Callithrix jacchus: one gene and its partners. The protein of the gene in region 2 purifies or fractionates together with the protein of the main gene of each other region. This does not show direct contact. Links are inferred from orthologs where the notes say so. Each region holds a gene or a part of one and is shown on either strand. Other genes may lie near its edges.

Region 1 (4,075 bases), on a different chromosome or scaffold from region 2:
GCAGGGACAGGGTTGCAGGGCCAGTGGCCTCCTTCCAGGAGGGACTCTGCTGCAGTCGGGCCCAGAGCAGGGCGGACAGGCCTGGCTGGCAACAGCAGGACCCTCCCAGCTCACTCACCATGGCTTGAAACTGCACAGATAGGAGGGCCCTTGGAAATCACATGATCCCACCTCTCTCCCCAAAAGTACAGACCAGGAAATGGAGACCCAGAGATGGGGCAGGGACTGGGCTCCAGAGGCAAAGCTGCTGCCCTTGTCTCTTCCAGGGGTAATGACTCAGGGGAATTCAGCGCTGCCGCAGACACAGCCAGGCAGCCAGTGGAGCTGCTGGCACCCCAGCCCTCCCTGCCGCACCTTATTCTGCGCTCATATCCTCCTGCTGGATCTCAACCTCTCCTCCACTGCAGGCAGGAGGCCAGGCTCATGCACCGCTGGCCTGGGAGCCCCAGAAAGGCCAGGTGCACACCTCGGACGGCTGCCTCCCCTCCCCTCCCCATGCAATCTTCCGCACTCACGCTCGTTCAGGCTCTAGGCTTCTGAACTCAGCCAGCCCGAGCCCCATCCTACTTTGCCACTACACTATCGTGCCACCACCAGGGAGCCACGGCCTCAGTTTCCCGGGCTGTAACATGGGGACAATCTCCTCAGACTTCCAGAACTGCTGTAAGGATAAAATGAGGTCCTTGGTGCCAATGGGTGTGACCTGTGGTACAAAGGAGAAAGCTAACGGGACCTGGTGACAACACCCGCTCCCTACTTGCTCCCAGCCCCTCCCTCAACATCCTGGCTCCACCCCTTCCAGGCACTGAGGCTCAAATGCTATTACTAGTAGCCAGAATCTGACATATGAGAATAAGAGGAGACACTGCAGGGGGCCCCTTGGCTGGGGTGCCAGTGCAGATTCTGCGGAGCAACCGTCCCCCTAGCCCAGGCCCAGCCTAGTTCAGGGCCCCCAACCCCACTCCGGCGCTCCAAGCTCCGAAGTCCCCACTCAGTAGCACCATTGGGGACCGGGAAGCGCAGGGCGCGTCGTGCAGGACGGGCGGAGAGGGCAGAAGCTTGCAGGTGGGAGGAAGGCGGGCGGGGGCGTGGGAGGTGGAGGGAGACGCCGGGAAGGCCGCGGCCCCTCCCCGCTCCCTCCCTGCGCGCCGCCAGCTACATTGCCCCTCCTGGGCAGGGGGCGGAGAAGACGGCGATGGGAGGGGAGGAGGCGGTGGCGGAGGCGGAGGAGGCGGAGGCGGAGGAGGCGGTGGCGGCGGCGGCGGCGGCGGGGGCGGGATTTGGAGTTTCCCTCCGCAGCGCCGGCGGCTGCCCCTCAGCTCCTGGCAAGGCCGCCGCCCGGGGTTCCGGTGGCGTTCGGCGGCAGCAGTGGCGCTTCCCGCCGACCGAGCTTCAGAAACTTCCCGGCCGCGACGCAGGGAACAGGCTCAGAGAACCGAGCGGAGCAGAGGTGAGTGGAGCACACGACGTCCTGGGGACCCCCACCCCACCCCACCCGGCCTGGCTGACCCCCCCTACGTGCACCCCCTCCTCCACCCCACACCCCCAAAGTCCTGACAAGGCACTCCCCACGAAGCCGGCGCACGCGCCCCTAGGAGACCCATTGGGTGCTGCCGCCGCACACCCGTGCACCCCTCCCGTGCACCTCCCGTGTCCACTGCCACTTAGACCGGCTGCACACTCGCGCGCACACAAACCACGCATCACAGAGCCGGGTCCCTGTAATGCACACACTAGCATCCCCTGTACCACTACTCACCACTGTCCCCAACTCATGCCAACCCACCGAGACCCTGCCACGCCCCAGTACACACCCAGGCGCACACGCACGCTTCCAACACATCTCTGCGATACCTGCACTAACATAGCTCCCCCTACCATGCTCTTGCCACCTTGAACTCCCCATATCCCATGACAGACACCCCACCCAGGTGCCCAGCCCAGAGACACTGCAGTCCACCCACCCGGGAGCGAGGTCCCATCACAAATCCACATCCCAGCGGCCGATACTCCCCACGTCCCAGGCACACACCTCCAGCATCTCCAGCGCGCACTCTCATCCGCCCCAGCACGCGCGCACACCTGCTGGATTCACGCTCTCCAGCACCCTACCCCGCCCCCATCACAAATAGCCTTCGACACCCCCAGCACATCTCTGAGTCCCTCCCTCCCAACACCTGGCACGCGGGCTCTAGAGGCTGCAGCATTTGGTGGCATCCCTGCCAGGCACCTCTGGCTCTCCTTCGGCAGCGTCTCATCAGCCTTCGGCTCCCCAGGTGCCTCCCTAAACAGACCTTGAGACTCCCCAGCGACTGACTTGGCCTCTTCCCTAAGAGATAAAGAAGGCACTTGGGGTGCAAGGTAGGGTACTTAGATGCGGAGGCAAGGGGCCGGGGGGAGGGGCGGGGTGGAGGCAGAGAGCGCCCGCCGCTGAAATGGAGGCGTCCCAGGTGGGACCAAAGGGGCGCCAGCTGCCCGACCAGCCCGTAGTAGGTGGGTTCCATGCGGGCTGGAGTCCGCGCGCGCTGTCTGGGTGCCGGCCTGTGTGTGTGTTACGGGGAGAGCTGTATGTGCACGTGTGCTTATGCGTGTCGGGGTGGGGGAGGAGTGTGTAATCGGCAGAAGGAAAAGCAGGAGCAGCTCCCTCAGGCAACAATTGGTTTCATTCATTCATGCCTTCTTTGTTAACGAGCATTTCTTCCGCGAGCGCCGGGCGCGTGCCAGGCCCTGCACTGGGGGCTGGGGCCAGCTTGGGGCCGGGCACACACACGTTCCTGCCTTGGAGGAACTCCCAGTCCCGCGAGGAGACCGACCATCCCCAGCAGAAAGTGGATTTGATGGAAAAGACACTGGATTTGGCAGACACGCTGTCTCTGGGACTTGTGCTCTTGGCCATGTGACCCGGCCGCGACAGCCGAAATCCTGCCACTCGGCCCGGCGGGAATGGTGCATTTCGGGGTGGGAAGGCGGCGCGGCGCCGCTCTCGGGAGGCCCCCGGGACCAGAGGGCGCACTCGGCACGCGCGAGGCCTGCAGACGGCGGCTTCCTCGCGGCCTCCAGGGGGCGCTGGCCCGGCCGGGCGGAGGCCCGGGGCGCCCGGCAGGGGCGGGGGCGGGGTAGGCGGGCGCAGCGCCCACCCTGCGACGAGCAGCGAGCGCGCGGCCTGGCTCCGCCCGCCGGAGGGGGCCAGGAGAGGCCCGGGCGCGCGACGCGGCCTCTCCCTGCACGGCCCACCCGGGAGTGGCTGCGGGGCTCGGCGGCGCCCAGAGCTGGCGCTGCTGGGGGCCTGAGTGGGGGCAGTCAGGCGAGGGTCGCCGTTAGAGGGGGTTAGGAGGTTGGCTGCGCTCAGCCCTGCAGTGCGGAGGCCGCAACAGGTTCCCGTTTGTCCTGTTGCTGGCGCTGCGGGCGCTGTGGGCCCTGAACTCTCAGCTCTGACTTTGGAGATTGAGCCCCTCATGGCCTCCTCATGAGCCCCTTATGGCCCCCTCCTAAATTCTTTCTCCGGATGGGAAGGCTTGCCAGCACGGCTCCGCAGTTAGGTTCAGGGAGCCCCTCGCCCGGTCGGGAGCCAGGGACTCTTGGATCCCGGGCTTCCCCTCCCTTCACCATTTCGGAGGCTGCCTCTCTTCATCCTCATCCTAGCCCAGCTCCTCTCACCTCCAGGGAGCCCTCTCCAGAGTGGCCTAAGCACCTCAGGAGCTCCCTCTCCAGCCAGACTGAGCCCCCAGGCACAGGAGCGGGGAACACCGCTGTCCAGCTCCCGGCTGCTCACAGCCCTGTGCCACCCCTACTAGCCACAACCAGACTGGCACATGGCAGAACCTCGGTGGTGCCTTCAACCCCTGGCCACTCTGAGCTCCCACCCACAGCTGCAGTGGGCCTGGAGGCAGCCCCCGGGCTGGGCACCAGTGTACACCTCCACCACTGTGGGACTAGGCTGAGATAGGAGGAGGGAGAAGACAAAGTTCCTGCCCCAGGAACACACTGAGAAAGGGGGAAAGTGACCACACTGGGGAGCACAAAGGAGGGAGACTACTGGCTCCGAGTTGGGAGGGCTGCCTGGACGAGGGGACCT
Region 2 (4,238 bases):
CTGTCTCTACTAAAAATACAAAACTTAGCTGGGCGTGATAGCATGCGCCTGTAGTCCCAGCTACTCAGGAGGCTGAGGCAGGAGAACTGCTTGAACCCGGGAGATGGAGGTCGCAGTGAACCGTAATTGTGCCACTGCACTCCAGCCTGGTGGCAGAGCGAGATTGTCTCAAAAAAAAAAAAAAAAAAAAAAAGAGACAGTAGAGTAACTGGAGAACAAAAAGGAAAGGAGACTTTTCACTGAATACCTTTTTAAAGCTTTCAAATTTTATCCAATGTCAATGCACTACCTATTTTTTAAAACCTGTTCAATAAAAGTACTTTTAAGTGTCAGATACTGCTGACTTCTATACCACAGAAAAATATACCACTAAAGAAATGTGGAGTTAATTTTAATGACACTTCACTGTAAATCTGGATCTCCTGTTCCAGTTCAGAGCGAGTCACCAACAGCAGTGAACTCTTGCAAGCAATTCAATTGGAGTTTCCCAAACCCTCTACAGTTGACTTATTCTGCTGTATCACTCCATTAAAATTTAAATAGCATTGAAAACAAAAACACGACACTACAGAAATGAATGTGTCAATTCAAGAAAGAAAAAAATGGAAAGCTATTAATGAGCCATAAAATATTAAAGGAGCAATGATCCAAATACATCTTTGAAAATTAGCAATTCAAGTAGATATATATACGTATATACTGCATGTAAAATGCTGTAAATCAACTACACACACACACACACTCTCTTTCTCTCTCTCTGAATGTAAAATGTTGCAAATTCCTTTAAAATGTAAACTGACACACTGTAAAAATGAGAGAAAGATGTCAAGCACGGTGCATTCTACAACATAACTTAAGCAGCTTGAACTAGAAAATGCAACATGATCTGTTGCTGGACACAATTGCACAATCTCAATTACCCAGAAGATTCTACCAAACAGGAAATTCATGATGTGACTTCAGGAAACACAGCAATCATATTTAAAGATTAACACATCCAAAAGCCTGGAATTTGTTCCAAAACAAAAAACGATTTTACAGGCCCCTTTTCAAATCTTGCATAAACACGAATTACTAAAACACAGAAAAAGCTAACCGTTAAATCTGATATTTAGTTTCAGATCCATAGCTTTCAAATGATACAAAATCTAAAATACAGGGTATAAAACCTTGGAAGTTAGAGGTCAGTTAGTGAAATATTTCAGGTCTGGAAATCATATGATATCGACTTAATTTAAAACACACTCATAGTGTAAATTAAAGCTAAAAAGTATTTCTTCCCTTCCTTTTCTATGTGGTTCCATATCTTTACGAAAACCATCGTGTACCTCAAGCCATAAATGCAGATAATTCCCTGCAAACTCTCTGAGGGACTTTTAAACCACAGTATTCGCAGGAATTATCACAACAAGAAATTTACAATACCTCCCAGCACTGTTAATAACTTTTTGATCTTGAGGGCACCTCACAGATCTGAATCTTTCTTGCTCCAAAGGAGAAAATTGTTTTGTCGAACAATACTTAAATGAGCAGTGGTATGTGACTAATCAGTGAGGCTGCCAGTTTCTCAAGCTGCAGTGTTCTTGCAAGCATTACCACCGCCGCCCCTCCACGGAAAGGAAATACGCTTTCAACTGAATCGGAAACACACCACTCAAGCTGGCACAGTGCTCACTGAGATAAAGTCGGTATTTTAAGCTCTATGGATCGGTGCTAACTCAAGTGCGAATTCAAAAAGAACGCTTCTCAAGATGGGATTTCGACAGAGGTTTGCAAAAAAAGAAGGAAAAAAAAAGCCCGGAGAGAGCTCCCTTCCTGCTCAGTTTTGTTCAGATGACTGAAGTCTTCGGGTTGGCCTCTGCCCTTCTGCTTCTCCCGGGAGCTCCCCGAGCTTGTCTGCTCAAAGGACAGGCTCCCGCGTTCCAGCGTGGGCGCATCGCGGGAGAGGGTCCTTCTGCTCCAGGTCGGTAGGGAGACCCCCCAAGAAAGCAGCCCTGCCCCCGGCGCCTGCCGCCGAACAGCAACCCTCCGAGATGGGAAGGCGCAGGGTGCTACCCAGAACCGAGCTCCAGCACCACCACCTACCTCTCGCAGCGGACCTGAGTGCTGCACACGGTGGACCACATACCCGCGAGTGCAGGGCGAGGGGTGCAGGAGGTGCAGAACAGGCAGGGCTCGAAGGGCAGCAATGCCCTCCCCCGAGGAAAATTCCTGCCACTTGACGCAACGCTGAGCCGTGGGGCAGGCCTGGCCCTCGGGCGCGAGGGGCCACCCTGACCACAGCAGCCCCAGCGAGGCCCGGCGACACTCACCACACAGAGCCATAGGCGCCGGAGCCCACTGGAGACAGGTTCTGGTAACGCTCGGGCACCTCCCAGATTGTCTTGTTCAGCTCCTGCCGGTAGAACGTGGGCCTCTCCTGAGACATTTTCCAGCGGCAGCCGCCAGGCAAGAAGGTGGCCCTGTGGGGCCCCCGCCTGCACCCGCACCCTCTCCCCGGCCCTTGCTGCCCGCCCAACCGGGCGGGGACCTCGCGCTGGTCGCCCGCGCAGGTGCGGCTGCCGCGACCCCGCAGACTCCCGCGCGCGCGGCTGCTGTCAGCCGCAGCGGCTGGATGCGCCTCTGCGACTGGGGCAAGCCCGGTTAAGAGAAGGGACGCGCTCTGGCGCTCAAGGCTGCGCCCGCCGCGATATCCCTGCACCTTCGCCCCTACTAGGCCGACTCTGGGCTGCGTCGCAGGACTTCTGCTCCAGCTGCGCCCGCTGAGGATCCAGTGGTCCCGGTTCCAGAGCCAGCAAACGGGAGCCTCCCCGTACTCTCGCGAGAACAGCTCCTGGAACTCTCCGCGAACCGAGATTTTACCCAATATGGAACCTCTCCGCGGGCGGGGCTTCGTGAGAGGAGAATATGGGAGAAGCAATTCTCGCGAGAAGAGAGCAACAACTGTAGACCAGAGGCAGAAATTCCCCAGGGACTGTCTCCTTAAGGGCGCGAAGGAGCACTAGGGAAGAAAGAGATAAGCGGGCAGCACACGCCGCGCGCGCCTCACCGTGGCCGGCGGGGCAAATACCTGGCTCTGTGGTGGGAAACGAGAGGGACAAATAGCATGTTGGGGAAGAGCCAAAAGATCTTTAACAGAGAGTAGTTCCCAGCAGCTGAGCACCTGCTCAACAGAACCCCCAAATTCCAAAAAACACTTGCATAAAAAAGAGACAAGTTCCGGCCAGAAGGCTGCTGCATTCCCATCTGTTCAAGGACATGTGGTTACTCTTCAAGATGCTTGATGAAATCTGCCCCCCAAAACAAATGTCAACCTGCATCAAAGCTAGGCTCTCCATTCAAACTCTCCTAGTAGTTCTTAAACTTACACGCAGAAAAATCACTCTAGGAGTTTAAGATGCAAGTTCCCAGGACTCACAGGGAATCTAATTGGGTAGGTCAGAGGACGGCATCAAGAGCATGTATTTTTATAGTACATCTTAGGTGGTTCTGATTCAGGAAAGTCTCTGATATTTCCCTTTGAGAAGCATTTAAAAAAACCATTACACTGAAGACTTGAAACTGACTCCTATCCTGAAGAGCCATCAGTGAAGAGGATTTTAAGCCTTTAACTTAGGCCTCTTGGAGTAAGAAGAATAGGGCATGAGTCTCATCAAATTTAGGCAAGTCAATTGACCTTTCCTGAACCCTTAGTTCAGGAAAACCCTTAGGAATTTCTGCCCTGCATTCCCGATGAACAGAGTCATGTGTAAAAACTGAACAAGATAAATGTAAATGGGCAAGGCATTATAACCTCATGCCTACATCCATTATCAACCTACACCTATGCTAAAGCTTGTTACAATGAGCAGAAGAATCAGATCCTGTCTGATTCTCTTAGTTTCTTGTATTAGAAATAACTGGGTGCAAGCCAGGACATTTCTCATCATTTCCCGTGTCATACCTTGGAGGGCTCAGACTTTGCCTATCTTGTCCCAACATCTAGCACAGTGTCTAGAACATAAAGCATGTCCCATACGTATTTATTGAAAAATTATGAACAATCACCATGATTTCAATTTAGGAGGTGGTACAGGATCCTCAGTCCTCCTCAAGGAAAGCAACATAAAACCAGAAAACAGAGTCATGGGTGATTCATGGAAAGCTGTCTTGGATCCAATGTAGCTTAGCTGGAATTCTCTTATCTATAAAAACATAATGCTTGAGAATGTTCCAAACTAGGGAGGCTAGGAAGCTTT
Region 3 (3,212 bases), on a different chromosome or scaffold from region 2:
AATTTGGAGAGAGCATCATGTCAGAGAATAGGTCGCGGGAAGAGCTGGGGAAAGTGGGCAGTCAGTCTAGCTTTTCGGGCAGCATGGAAATCATTGAGGTCTCCTGAGAAGAAAAACACTTGCGACTTCTATGGACAATTTTTTTTTCTGGTTCACAAAAGAATTCCCTGTAAATCTGAAATATATATATGTACATACATATATATTTTTAGAAAATGGAGCTATGGTGTAAAAGCAAAAGGTGGATCAACCCAGTTGTTACTCTCCTAACATCTGCATTTGAGAGATCAGCTAATACCTCTCTCAACAAAAATGGAAGGGCAGACGCTAGACTCCCCCAGACAGTCATCTGATTCAGTGACTCACACATCATCTTGTTCTTAAAAAGAAAGTGTATTTGGTGTCGGAGGACAAAATCCTCTACCATTTTCACATACTAAGAGATCTCAAACATTAGTCTCTGTCTGGTCCCTTCCATAGTACACCTTAGCGCCGAGACTGAGCCAGCCTGTGGGTCAGGTAGGTAGACCCTGTTAGGGACAGAGCCTAGTGGTGAATCCAAGAGAAACGATCCTTTCCAAAGCTGATTCACAAACCCACGCTCACCCGATAGCCGAGGGACACAGCATCACTCTGCTGGATGGACCATTAGGGGTCTTGCCAAGGTCTACTTTAGAGCAAACCCAGTACCTCAGACAGGAAAGTTGGGGCTTTGACCACTGCCATATCTGGTAGCCCGTTTTCTAGGCATTGTGAATAGGTAGGTAGCTAGTCACACTTTTCAGACCAATTCAAACTCTATGCACAAAATTCCAGTGGGCCTGGATGGAAGCAGTTAATTTTGTTTCCTTCTCAGCTTTATGAAGAGAAGGGAAAGTGTCTAGGATTCAGCTGAACAGCCAGGAACCTGGCAGCGTCATGATTAAAGCTAAGGTTGGGAGGCTAACGAGTCTCCCTCCCTCTGTATAAATCAAAGAATTGTTTAAATGGGATTGTCAATCCTTTAAATAAAGATGAACTTGGTTTCCAGCCAAATGTGAATTTATTTGGGTTGGTAACCAAGCAGCAGCACCTTCCACTTCTCAGCCAGAGTAGATATTTTTGCCATTTCTACTTCACTGCATGGACAGTTGGTAAAATGTAACAATACAGCAGAATTTTACAGGAAACTACCAAGGGAGGTAAATTATGAGAAGATTAAGAAAGGTAAAAATTGCTGAGGAGAAGCAGGAAACCTATTTCCTTAATGGCTTTTATCCCCTTGGCATGCGAGGGGGTGGTGTTTCTGTAATTAATTGCCTCAGACTTTCGAATTTACTAGTAGGGCTGAGAAAGGCTTTAGTGAGCAAGGAATATTCAGAATAAAACTGTTAAGAAAGCTGAGAAGACCGTTGAGTTTTGATCAGTTATGAGCAGAGTGCAAAGCCATGGCCAAGCTATTTTCAGAAACTCTGGCTGGCATGTCTTCAGTGGAAGGGGCGAATCCAAATGGAGCTGGAGCAAGGGGCATCCTCAGCCCTCAGCCTACAATCACTGTGGACTCGGTCCTGGCAGCTGAACGTAGGAGGTCACTGGAACAAGTGCGCAAGTGATAGTGCAAATCTGCTTTCAAACTTCCTCCTGGCTTTGGGTTTTGTCCACTACAATGTGGGTCCTCTTTTGAAGCCTAATTCATGACAGCAGCTTTTTTGGGAGTGAGACTGGGCGGGTGCTGTCATTGTTCTTTCCTTTCCTGTAAGTGTCGCTAGTTGCTGCCTCGTATCTCAGGTTTTTCTCTGTTTGAGAAATGGACAGTTTTTTGACCAGGATGTGACTTCATGTTTCCTATGGTGACTTCTAAAACCAGCACAGAATGACATGACTCAACAGAGACTGGCGTGGTCACGGGGAAGATGAGCCGTACAGACATTAGCTGTGCACAAATAATGTGCCGTGATGGGTGATGGGGTGGGTGTAAGTGAAGGCAGAAGAGGGTTGGCCACATTGCTAAGGACACTGGGAAAGAGCTGGTCAATGATTCGAGTTAGTTTTTATACATACATTCAATGTAATCACATTCTCAAGTTTCACACAGTAATTTCTGATGTTATGTACACACACACACAAATGTGTAATGGTTCACCACTTGCGGAATGTGGTCACCTCCAAAACATTTTTAAGAAATGAAAGCAGTAGCTCCTTGCTAAGGATGTTTCAGGAGGTTTGAGGGACTGGGTTTTAATGAGCTGCTGTCATTTAGGGCGTCCCTTGGCCATGGTCCTCTTCTGTGACTGTGATGTAGTCACACACTACAGCCTTCAGTGCTGGTTCGCTCGTGTCAAATCATTTCGTGGAATGAAGACTGCCGTGGTGAAGGGGCAGCCTCGGAGGCCGGCTCTGGAGCTGCTTGGGTGTCTTTGGACAGGGTGGTGGCTGGCTCTCTTCAGCACATAATCGGGTAATCCTGGCACCTACTAGGGTGATATAGATGATGGTGATTTTAAAGAGCAAAACTAGACTTAGACTTCTAGGTGAGAAATGCTGGAAAACGACTTAGGACATGTGTAAAGCTAGATGGAAAGACTGTAAATGTTTAATATGAATATAGTGTTCTTTTGAAGTAAGGCCAGCTGTTGAATGGTTAAATTGTGCATTTCTCATTTTGATGTGTCATGTATGTTAATGTATGAAATGATGAAATAAAATCAAAACTGGTACCTGTTTATACATAAATATGAGAAAAGACCTATTTTTCAGCCATACACTTGGTGGGAATACCACCACCCAAGTTGCCAGAGGACGCCGTGGTGAAACCTGTCCTGTTCTTCTCATGTAAATGAGGATTTAGCTCAAAATAAAGTGATTTTGTCATCAGGTATATTCTGTTCTATCATGGCATGGAACACAGGATCATCAGCCAACAGTAAAAGCGTTGCTGTGTGCATGAAATGCGCACGATGGCGCAGAAGCCTAGGGCACTTGGTCAGTATTTTCTAGCTGACTGATTCCAGAACACACAAGTACATGATAGGAAGAAAAAAGCCAGCTACACACTCATGGTCCACTTCAATTAACAATGTTATGATTCCAACAGGAAAAACAGGAAGGGCAATTGTTGAAGATCTAACCTCTGTCCTTGCCACGTACATCTTAGTGACCTCTCTGCTCATGACAGTAGATTTGACGACTTAGTGAGACTAGAAGCTTAGTTTCATCAGTTTCATAAAAATGAG
Region 4 (2,525 bases), on a different chromosome or scaffold from region 2:
AAAAAGGGGGCGTGGGGGCGTGGCCAGCACCTGCCCTCCGCCCCGCCCCGCTCACGCCCCGGGTCCGCCCCAGACCGCACTGTGGAGGTGCTCTCCGAGCTGCTGTCGGTGAGTGCCCGCGAAGGCGACGGCGCTACGTTCGAGTGCACCGTGTCGGAGGCCGAGACCACGGGGCGCTGGGAGCTCGGAGGCCGCCTGCTGAGACCCGGAGCCCGCGTCCGCATCCGACAAGAAGGTCTGGCCGCCAGGCTACCCTTTCGGGCCCCTCGCTGCCCCGCCCAGGCTCGGACAGACCCCGCCCCGCGGGACAAGCCCCACCTCCGGCTCGGACAGGCCCCGCCTCAAGGCCCCAGAGCCGCGTCCCGGGTCTCTCCTCCGCCCCCAGCCCCGAGTCCCGGACCGCTCCTCTACCCGCCCCGCTCTCCGGTTCCGCCCACCTTAGCGTACACTAACGGCGTCCGAACCGACCCAGGGGCCTGCTGCGGCCCCACCCGCGTCCCCAGCGCTCCTCTGAGGTGGCTCCGGCCTCGCTAGCGACCCCGTCACCCCCAGGGAAGAAACACATTCTGGTGCTGAGCGAGCTGCGCCCCGAGGACGCCGGTGAAGTCCGCTTCCAGGCGGGGCCCGCCCAGTCCTTGGCTCTACTGGAAGTGGAGGGTAAGCACCAGGGGCGGGAGCGACAGGGAAAGAACATCCTCTCCTCTCCTGCCAGGGGACTGACGGACCGGGGGTGGCCCCGGGAACGATGCCTTCCTCTTCCCCTTCCCGCGAAGGGCTCTCCTGGGCCGGGTCACAGAGGGCACCGCGTTTCCCTGGGAAGAGGAGACTTTGGATTTGAGGTGCAAGGGAACGGACCGGTGGCATAGAGGGCTAAGGCCCTGAGTGGAGGCTGCAGGGAGGGAAGATGCGTCTCTTCTCCTGGGGGCCATGTGTGTCCCTATTAACTTAAGCTCCCGCCCCCTACCCTCAGCATTGCCTCTCCAGATGTGCCGCCGCCCCCCTCGCGAGAAGACCATTCTGGTGGGCCGCCGGGCCGTGCTGGAAGTGACTGTGTCGCGCTCGGGGGGCCACGTGTTCTGGTTGCGGGAGGGGGCCCAGCTGTGCCCGGGAGATAAGTATGAGATGCGCAGCCACGGCCCCACCCACAGCCTGGTCATCCGTGACGTTCGACCTGAGGACCAGGGCACCTACTGCTGCCAGGCCGGCCAGGACAGCGCCCACACACGGCTGCTGGTAGAGGGTGAGTAAAGCCGACTGGGAAGAGGCAAGAGGGCGAGGGCACCTGGGAACCGATGGGCTAAGCCACACCTATGGGAGGCTTTCTAGGACTGTGGTGGCGGCAGGTCCTGAAATGTGTTGGAGGTGGGGGTGGGGGAGGGGAGGGATAGAGCACACCCAGGGCTGGAACTGCTTGACTCAGATCAGCTGCTCCTAGTCAGCTGTTCCCACCTTTCTATACCCCTTCCTGCCAGGCTTCTCTCTCTTGCCACTGGACCATGTTTCTCTCTCTTGAACAGCCCCATTTCTACCAGTTCCTCTCCTCTGTACCTCCCTAACACTGCCTGCCTCCAGCCTGTCCCTCCTCCCTCCTGCCCATCGCAGTGAGTTCCATGTCAGCCTTGGCAGAGGCCTCTTTCTTTCCTCTTACACATGTCTCACACGAAGAGACATCCCACCTTCTATCCCAAATCCCAGCATTCCCTCCAGATGCTGAGCTGTGTCCCACCCCTAGCTGACCCCCACCTTCCAAGACAGCCCTGACAGAGGCCCAGAAAGGGTAGGATAGAGCCTGTGGGCCCAGATCTTCCTGTGCTGGTGTCCAGGCTCTGCCTGGGGAGAGGAAGGTGGTACCCACTCTCTCCCCAGCCCCACGTGGAGTCATTCCTCTGCAGGTAACTAGGAGTACCGAACCAGGCCAGGCAGGTGCCCTTGGACAGCTTGGAAGGCGTGTGCCCCTACCCTGGGCAGGGGTGGAGAAACAGGGAGACCAGAGATGTCAGGAAACAATAAAAGTGCTACAGCTCATTCCCTTGGCTCTCTGAGTGATGTGGGAGGGCAGACATTGCCTGTCGCCCCTGTGCAGTGAATGACACTGGGGACTGAGGGCTGTAGTGCTTATACCTGGCCCATGAAAGTGCCAGCCACCAAAGACCACTATTCCTGGCAGAGGCCACGCAGTTTGGCACATTTATAAAAGATGTAAAACAAAGTGGGATGGGGGAGACAGAAGCATGAGGTGTCCAGGTTGGCATGACAGACACCAGACATGCACCGTGCATTTAAGCCCCTCCCCAACTCCCTTCCCAACCCAGCCTGGCCCAGAGCAGCACCCCCCACCCCCATCTCCTGCCACTGCCCTCAGGCTGGTGGCTTTGTAGAGGCCAGGGGACCAGGGTGAGGGGTGCTACAGTTTGCCCCACAGACAAGGACAAGAACCCTTAGATGAGTCTGGCTGGGAGGCAGGGTGATGGGGAGGAAGGCAGCCCCTCCGCGGAGACATGCAGGAGGTGGCCCATGGGACTCCG
Region 5 (3,678 bases), on a different chromosome or scaffold from region 2:
AGCCTCCCGAAGTGCTGGGATTACAGGCGTGAGCCACCATGCCCAGCCCCCCCTCCCTTTTTTTTCCTGCTGGGACTTACTTTTTCCATCTTCAACATCCCCTAGTCTTTCCTGGTGACTCGCATGTAACCCAGAAGCCCCCTAAGGGGCACTCTCTGTGTACTCAACACCTAGTGTGTCAGTCAAAAAAAGGTGAAATGCTGTTGCAATTTTAAACTTTATACCATTAGTCAATCAGAATTAAGTGACAAATAATGTTTGCTTCCCCTCACCCCCTTCTTTTTATGGTGAAGATAACTTGAGCATATCCATTAAAAAGGCTGAAGTCACACATTCACACATTAAAAATCACTTTAAGACACTCAGTGATTTGACAGTGGACTTATGTTTTCCCCTTAAAAAGAAAGGGGTTGTTTGCTGTTGTGGTTTTAACTATTACATCTCACTCTAGTCAAGATGTGTAGCCAACTGTTAACAACGAAACTGAGAAAAACACAAACAACGAACAAATGACCTTTTATTTCATACAGAGATACAAAGGCAATTGTGCGCAGCAACAATCTGATGGGCAGTCCAGATTCCTGGGAGGAAGTAAATTCATGGTAAATGTCATGATGTCTGGTGTAGGAGAAGGTCAAAGGAGGAGAGAGGGGACAGAATGCTACTGCTAATAAATAACAGTATCAAGAACTGCATGGTTTCAATGCCAGGAGTTTGTTAGGTATCTTCCATGCCACTAAAACCATAATTCTACATCGTCATCATCAACATCCTTGAAGTGCATTAGCAGTTGTGCTGAGGGACTACAATCCTTACAAATAATTGACACATTTTATAGAAGGAGCTGTAAACTCTGCTCGTTATTGCCTGCCTTGGATGTGGCCTTTGGGACTGACAGTCTCTTTTAAGGAAACATGGTTGACACACTTTGGTTGGTCCCAGTTTTTGAGGCAGTGCTAGTTGTAATAGCATCATCCTTTAATCTGAGGAAATGTTTATTTTAAAAAAACCTGTCTTTCAAAACAGCAAAAAACAAGGTCTGGGTAGTGTCGAATCCTTCCATGGCACTCTGCGCCTCCCTGTGGGCTGTAACCATGGACCTGAGTCAAGAGTCTCATAAAAAGACTTCTCCAATGCATTTACAATAGGGACATGCCACATGGCTTGTTATTCATTAAAACAGTTTATTGGCTTTAAATGTACATCAGTAAATTTTTAAATGCTAAAAATTTATGATAAAAGAATACCGAACCAAAACATAAAAGAAAATAGAGGCTCAACGGCATGATTTTAATATATTTTCCTGGATAAACAGATTTTTAAAAAGTATACTACTTTTTATTCAAGAACAAAAGCTTTCTAAATTCAATGTTTAGAACTGATTTTTCTTTTTTTTTAATAAGCCCAGAAAACTGGGGATCATAAAATAAAGGCACAATGTGGGCAGCAAAAGAAAAAAGGAGGAAAAAAAAAGGGAGAAAAATTGGTTTCAATCTCACATGTAACAAAAGTTGACTGGTTTTGTTTTTGTTTTAGACAATTTAAGGCAGAATTATCTCTCTGCAATCCTGCAGATAAATCCTAGTGTTTTAGCTATAAGTTTCAAGAGTTCAGATATACAGATAAACCAATTTAAAAAAACCGTTTTCTTAATCTAAAGCTTTTGATGCATTTTAAATGCATCAAAAATCTTTAAAATGCATTATAAATCTTTAAAATTCCTATCACCCACATTTTAAGAAATAGATCTATATTTCGATAAGACACTCTTAAGATATAAAAGTTTTAAAAAAAACAATGACAATTCTACACTAGGGCCAACTCATTCCTCTGCCAGAGGGATGGAGTGAATTGTCTCTTTGAATCAAGTCAATCTCTATGCACCAACACAAGCAGGCAGGTATCTTCACCCATTCTGAATTTACCTAGGTAGCTGAATTTTATCAACCGGACTCTCCCATCCACTAGACGGAGAGTTACACAAACAGAATTGCCCAAGTTTGATGATGAAATTTAAAAACACTACCTCATTTTTCTAGAAATGGATCCTTTGAATATACAACAGTCACTTCTATTAGCTCCTGTCCATAAAGAAAAGCACAATGGGAGAGAAGCAATGATCCTCATATCCTTCAACTTTCCTGATAGGACAGAAATAGAAAGGAACTTTACTTTTAAATGACAACCTAACAGCTGTTAGCAACATGACATTCACTTTTAAATGACATCCTAACAATTGTTAAGAACATGACATTTTAGTTGTATGTCTTATGTATGTAGGTCATTGGTGCTAATAGCTTCCACTTCTAAATGACAAAAATTTGAATCCTACCATCCCTATTGCTAATTAAAGCAAACACCAAAGCTTACAATATAGTAATGCAACCTCTAAGACTGTAACAACACAGAGAAATTTTAGTGGAGTTTCCACTCTTTCCTAAGTAATGGAAGAAAATGAAGAATACAGAAACGCCAGACTAAGCCTGAATTTCACTATGAAAAAAGGGTAACAAATGTCCCATCAGAAGGAGAGGAGTTAAAAATGTGGCATTGGGAATGCATCAGATTGAGGCGTTGTTGTGGGCTAGGTCTTTGCTTCCAATGAGTAAAGAAGGATCTAGAAAGGCAGCTGTGGGGTGCTTCTTTCCTTCATCCTTCTGGGCTGGCAGCAAGTGACCAATTACTTCCCGTAGAACTTTTTGTTGAGAAGGAAGATCAGGAGGTTGACATTTACTTTAGCTCTATCAAATAATTTCATGACTGCAACTCCTTCGTATTGTAGCTGCAGCAGGTCCTATTTTAAAAAACAAAACATTGTGACAGTGAATCAAGTCTGTGGAACCAGGAAAAAGGGCATGATGTGGGGGAGAATCCAGATGGGCCGAGGCTGTCTTGTGTGCCAGATGTGAAATGGGGCCACAGAGAAGCTCCTAGCTAGGAAACTACCCACTGCGTAACCAGCCTGAGAGCTGCAGCAACATGGTGCGCTGGCCAAGGGAGTCTTCTGGTTAATTTGGAGTTAGAAAGTCATGTTGTTCATATCAAAATTAATCATACAGGGAAAGAAAAAGAAACATGTTCAGTTGCCACATGACATCTAAGCTTTTGATTTCAGAAGTCACACTGACATTTTCACATTTCATCCACGTTATGGGTCACTAGTTTTAATAAATCTGGAAAAGGCGAAGGCATTGAAACCTATGACTAAATATACTAAGCACAGGAAATGAGACAAGGCTAGTAATGTTATCTCAATACTATCTGCTAGATTCTTCATTTCTGCTCCACAAGAGAACACTTTCTATCCTGAAGGCAAGGGAAAAAGAGAGAACTTGGTGCTTTATTAGCATATGTGCTCAGGCACTGTGTAAGCACATTATGTAGCATCTTTTAAAGTCCTCACAAATTTTTATGAGGTGTGATTATCCCAACTTTAAAGATAAACTACTGAGGCTCAGAGGTGTTAAATGACTTCACAACAGGACAGAGACGGACATGGTAAATCCAGATCTGACTGCAAAGCTCCTGCTTTTCCTGCTATCTTCACCACTGATCCTAAACAAGTTTATGAAATCTTGAGTGGTCTCACTTCTAAAATTTGGAAGAGTGGTGAAGAGAAAGCAAGGGTCAAAGGGCTTGAAAGGGCCCCACAAGGCTGGGTGCAGTGGCTCATGCCTG
Region 6 (3,954 bases), on a different chromosome or scaffold from region 2:
CTCTCCTGTTTCAAACTGAGCACCTTGAGTTGCATCTGAGAAAGCTAAAACTATGGGTGATGCCACCCTATCCTATCGATTTCTTTCCTTACATTCTTTGGGTTGCTACAAGGAATCAGTCTTTTTTTAAAAAATCAGGTGGTGCACATGGTGGCTCACATCTGTAATCCCAGTGCTTTGGGAGGCCGAGGCAGGAGGATCACTTGAGGCCAGAAGTTTGAGGCTGCAGTGAGTTACGATCATGCCACTGCACTCCAGCCTGGGCAACAGAGTGAGACCCTGTCTCTAAAAAATAACAACAAAAAAAATCAAAGCATGAGACTAGATTTTAACAAGAGAATAAAGAGGGTGCTTAGGTGGAGATGTGGGCAGCATCCACCTCCGTTTTCAAGTTCAGAGGCAGAAAGATCAACCTCTCTCCCCCACACGGAGGGAGGGCCTGTGCGCTGTCCCTAGCTCCCACTTCACAGCTGGTCTTCTTGCTCTCCCTGCTCAGCTTCTGCTCTGCCCTCAGCCCTCAGCACTCTGAGGTTCCTGGCCTCACCGGCCCTGGGGACTCTCTTGGGCAGGGTTGGCAACCGGGGAGTGTGCCAGAAGGCTCTCCGGTGCTTGCGAAACCACGAAAAGCGTCCAGGGGTCTGGAACCTCACTGTCTTGACCTGTTTCCGGGCCCTGGCTCCTGAAGCTGTCCCTGTGGTCCCTTGGGCAGCTGAAGCTTCAGCTTCCTGGATGCCTGGGGCACCTGCCCTCTGATTATGTGCAGCCTGGGCCCTCCGATTATCTGCACCCTGGACAGCTGGGGACCTTTCCCTCTGGTCATGTACGGCCTCTTCCCTTTGATTATCTGCAGCCTCTAACCCCTGGTCAGCTGGGGCCTCTGCCCTCTGATTATCTGCAGCCTCTGACCCCTGGTCAGCTGGGGCCTCTGCCCTCTGATTATCTGCAGCCTCTGACCCCTGGTCAGCTGGGGCCTCTGCCCTCTGATTATCTGCAGCCTCTTCCCTCTGGTTATCTTCACCCTCTGGCCCCTGGTCAGCTGCGGCCTCTTCCCTCTGATTATCAGCAACCTCTTCTCTCTGGTTATCTGCAGCCTCTGGCCCCTGGTCAGCTGGGGCCTCTTCCCTCCGGTCAGCTATGGCCCCTTCCCTCTGATTATCTGCAGCCTCTCCCCCATGATTAGCCTGGAAGTCTGCCCCCTGACCTGTGGATGCTGTCTGCTCCTTTCTGTGGAGTCGAAAGGAGGCCCAGTTGATCTTGGGCCTCCATCGCCTGGGGGAGGTCTGGGGCGCACAGGCATCTCCCGCGTTTCCCACGCGATCCCTGGGGCTGGTGCCCTCTGGCGCGGATGATACTCCTGCGCTCCCTGATGCGGTGGAGGACAGCCGGGCCTCACCCACCCCGGGTCCCGCCCTCGGCGCCCAACCCTTCACCCTCCGCTTCAGCTTCCCCCAGGACACCTGGCCGACATACTCCCGCCACCTGTCCGCCTTGGACAGCCGAGGCCCCAGGTTGTCCTCAAACATCGGCACTGGCCGGTTGACGCGACGGCGGGCAGGCGGCGCACTGGGCTGCTTCTCCTCTCGCCGGAGGAAGGCCTCGACCAGTTCCTCATCATCCTCGCTCTCCAGATCGCTGCCCAGGAACTTGCTGCCCAGGTAGCTGACCGGCATCCTGCGCACCGCCTTGCCCCGCCGCGGGCCTTGGCGGCTCTGGTCTCTGGAGGTCTCGAAGTCGCTCAACTCACTGTCGCTGGCATTGCTGCTGTCGTAGGTGCCCACGACCAACCGGGGCGGAGGAGTCACCATCTGCTGCACTCTTCTCCTCACTCGGGGCTCCCTGGGCTTTCTGGGGGGCTGGGGCGGGTGCGGGGTGCTCTTCTCGATGATTCGGGCCACGTCCTCCAGGGTGCGGCCTTCTTCTTCCAGGAACTGGATCAGCCGCTCCCGAAATTCTGCTTCCTTGGTGGCGGGCTTGGAGATGACTCTCCAGACGCCCCCGGCCAGCCTGACCTCCCGGGGGATGAGCAAATAATCGACGTCCTCCCCAATCTGCAGCATCCCCACCGTGGAGTCCTCCTCCTTGCGGAACACCTTCCCGATCTTCTTAAAAGTCCCCACGGGCTTCAGGGCTTCCACGAGGACGTCCAAATCCACATCTTTGCAGACATCGGGGACGCTCCAAAGAATTAGGCAGTCGGGGGACGGGAGGAAGCCCCAGGGGAACCAGCCCCCCACGTGGCTTTTCTCGAGAGTCTTTAAGATCTCCAGAGTGGTATCTGAGGTGAGGGGGCAATGAGCCCCAACAAGCTACAGTCTTGAGGGAGGGACTGGAGGCCGGGGGAGTGCCAGCAACGCTGATCGGAGAGTCTCCTCCCCAGGCCAGGGACGAGCCCACGCCTCCTATCTCTTCGCCTGTACCAAGTCCAGTGTTGACCAAGTCCTGCTCCCTTGCCACGGACTTGGAGGAATCAATTTCCAGGATGCTTACGTGGGCGGGGGCGAGGTCAGTCCCGAGGCTCAAGGCCCACTCCAAGCTGGAAACGTGGTGGTCCAGCTCCAAGTTGGGGCGCGCGAGCTGCCAGCGATTCTTCCTGCCCCAGGCACCGGGGACGCGGCTGGAACTTGGAAGAGGAATTCGCAGACAAAGACGGTCCAGCCCAGGCTATTCAATATGGCCGAGGGGCTGGGAGGCCTCAGCCGGGCCCCGCAGTTGGGTACCCCGCCCCCAGGCAGGCCGCCACCCAGCTCCAGGCTGACCTTGACACGCTGCAGCCTGCCAGGCCGCGCGCTTAGGGCTCTGCACCTTGGAGCGCAGGGGCAGGAAGTTCCTCCTCGCCTTCCCCTAGAACGAGGCCCACCTTCCCCGTCTCATCTTACACTCCCGGACTCGGGAAGACTGACAGGGGGGCTGTCCACTCCCTTCGGGGCGGCCTCCCTCCCCTCCCCCACAGGGGTGTGGCCGCGTCCCGGGCCTAACTGGGCCCATTGCTTCCCAGCGAAGCGGCTGTAGCCCACGTCAGCACCTTTCCTGAAAGGCAGCGGTTTCCAGACCTGCCCTCCGAAATGGACAAGTCCCAGCCAAACCCCGGAGGTGGCTGTGCTAGTGGATTCGACCTTTTGAGGGCCACTGGCACTATAGATGAGCATGTTAAATTCACGCGACCATCGGTACCCGTACACCCACACACGTGGGTAGAGAAATGGGTACCAGGTTCTTATTGCAACAGTCCCACTGTGGCGCGTGGCACAAGGTCGGGGCTCAATGCATAGTTTTGAGTGGATGAATAACCTAAACGTTCATGGCCCGGGGCGGTGGCTCACACCTGTAATCTCAGCACTTTGGGAGGCCGAGGCGGGTGGAACAAACACTTGAGGCCAGCAGTTCGAGAGAAGCCTGGCCAACGTGGTGAATCCCTCCTCTGTACAAAAAAAAAAAAAAAAAAAAAAAAAATACAAACATTTGCCGGGCTCGGCCGGGGGCAGTGGCTCAGGCCTGTAATCCCAGCACTTTGGGAGGCTGAGGTGGGCAGATCACGGGGTCAGGAGACAGACCATCCTGGCTAACACGGTGAAACCCTGTCTCTACTAAAAATACAAAAAAATTAGCCAGGCATGGTGGTCGGTGCCTGTAATCCCAGCTACTCAGCAGGCTGAGACAAGAGAATCACTTGAACCCGGGAGGCGGAGGTTGCAGTGAGCCAAGATCAGCCACTGCACTGCACTCCATCCTGAGCAACAGTGAGACTCGTCTCAAAAATAAAAAAGAAATTAGCCAGGCGTGGTGGTGCCCGTGCGTAGTCTCAGCTACTCTGGAGGCTGAGGCAGGAGAACTGCTTAAACCCAGGAGGTGGAGGTTGCAGTGAGCCAAGATCGAGCCACTGCACTCTAGCCTGGGTGACAGACCTAAATTCCGTATAAAATAAAAATTTAAAAAATAGCCGGGCGTAGTGGTGTG

The links.
Region 1: the proteins of MAPK14 (region 2) and DUSP9 purify together in Homo sapiens (affinity purification with mass spectrometry; 8 studies listed by BioGRID and IntAct, counting the BioPlex papers as one, with this or other methods). This does not show direct contact. The link is inferred for Callithrix jacchus from reciprocal best matches to the Homo sapiens genes MAPK14 and DUSP9.
Region 3: the proteins of MAPK14 (region 2) and DUSP16 purify together in Homo sapiens (affinity purification with mass spectrometry; 7 studies listed by BioGRID and IntAct, counting the BioPlex papers as one, with this or other methods). This does not show direct contact. The link is inferred for Callithrix jacchus from reciprocal best matches to the Homo sapiens genes MAPK14 and DUSP16.
Region 4: the proteins of MAPK14 (region 2) and OBSL1 purify together in Homo sapiens (affinity purification with mass spectrometry; 6 studies listed by BioGRID and IntAct, counting the BioPlex papers as one, with this or other methods). This does not show direct contact. The link is inferred for Callithrix jacchus from reciprocal best matches to the Homo sapiens genes MAPK14 and OBSL1.
Region 5: the proteins of MAPK14 (region 2) and IQGAP1 purify together in Homo sapiens (affinity purification with mass spectrometry; 3 studies listed by BioGRID and IntAct, counting the BioPlex papers as one, with this or other methods). This does not show direct contact. The link is inferred for Callithrix jacchus from reciprocal best matches to the Homo sapiens genes MAPK14 and IQGAP1.
Region 6: the proteins of MAPK14 (region 2) and CCDC8 purify together in Homo sapiens (affinity purification with mass spectrometry; 3 studies listed by BioGRID and IntAct, counting the BioPlex papers as one, with this or other methods). This does not show direct contact. The link is inferred for Callithrix jacchus from reciprocal best matches to the Homo sapiens genes MAPK14 and CCDC8.

Annotation. Positions count from the first base shown.
Region 1 is NC_133524.1:149,567,497-149,571,571, forward strand, and holds the start of DUSP9 (dual specificity protein phosphatase 9), read left to right. Parts: upstream 1-1,275; 5' UTR 1,276-1,450; intron 1,451-2,157; exon of another isoform or gene 2,158-2,361; intron 2,362-4,075. UniProt on the Homo sapiens protein: Inactivates MAP kinases. Has a specificity for the ERK family.
Region 2 is NC_133505.1:44,336,287-44,340,524, reverse strand, and holds the start of MAPK14 (mitogen-activated protein kinase 14), read right to left. Parts: upstream 2,801-4,238; 5' UTR 2,429-2,800; coding exon 2,313-2,428; intron 2,139-2,312; exon of another isoform or gene 2,127-2,138; coding exon of another isoform or gene 2,086-2,126; intron 1-2,085. UniProt on the Homo sapiens protein: Serine/threonine kinase which acts as an essential component of the MAP kinase signal transduction pathway.
Region 3 is NC_133510.1:10,833,881-10,837,092, forward strand, and holds the end of DUSP16 (dual specificity protein phosphatase 16), read left to right. Parts: coding exon 1-107; 3' UTR 108-2,712; downstream 2,713-3,212. UniProt on the Homo sapiens protein: Dual specificity protein phosphatase involved in the inactivation of MAP kinases. Dephosphorylates MAPK10 bound to ARRB2.
Region 4 is NC_133507.1:141,292,702-141,295,226, reverse strand, and holds the end of OBSL1 (obscurin-like protein 1), read left to right. Parts: intron 1-73; coding exon 74-235; intron 236-552; coding exon 553-657; intron 658-970; coding exon 971-1,240; intron 1,241-1,472; coding exon of another isoform or gene 1,473-1,513; exon of another isoform or gene 1,514-1,517; coding exon 1,518-1,714; 3' UTR 1,715-1,892; coding exon of another isoform or gene 1,893-1,900; 3' UTR 1,901-2,025; downstream 2,026-2,525. UniProt on the Homo sapiens protein: Core component of the 3M complex, a complex required to regulate microtubule dynamics and genome integrity. It is unclear how the 3M complex regulates microtubules, it could act by controlling the level of a microtubule stabilizer.
Region 5 is NC_133507.1:19,899,455-19,903,132, forward strand, and holds the end of IQGAP1 (ras GTPase-activating-like protein IQGAP1), read right to left. Parts: intron 2,795-3,678; coding exon 2,681-2,794; 3' UTR 501-2,680; downstream 1-500. UniProt on the Homo sapiens protein: Plays a crucial role in regulating the dynamics and assembly of the actin cytoskeleton.
Region 6 is NC_133523.1:40,427,056-40,431,009, forward strand, and holds the start of CCDC8 (coiled-coil domain-containing protein 8), read right to left. Parts: upstream 2,801-3,954; 5' UTR 2,058-2,800; coding exon 465-2,057; 3' UTR 1-464. UniProt on the Homo sapiens protein: Core component of the 3M complex, a complex required to regulate microtubule dynamics and genome integrity. It is unclear how the 3M complex regulates microtubules, it could act by controlling the level of a microtubule stabilizer.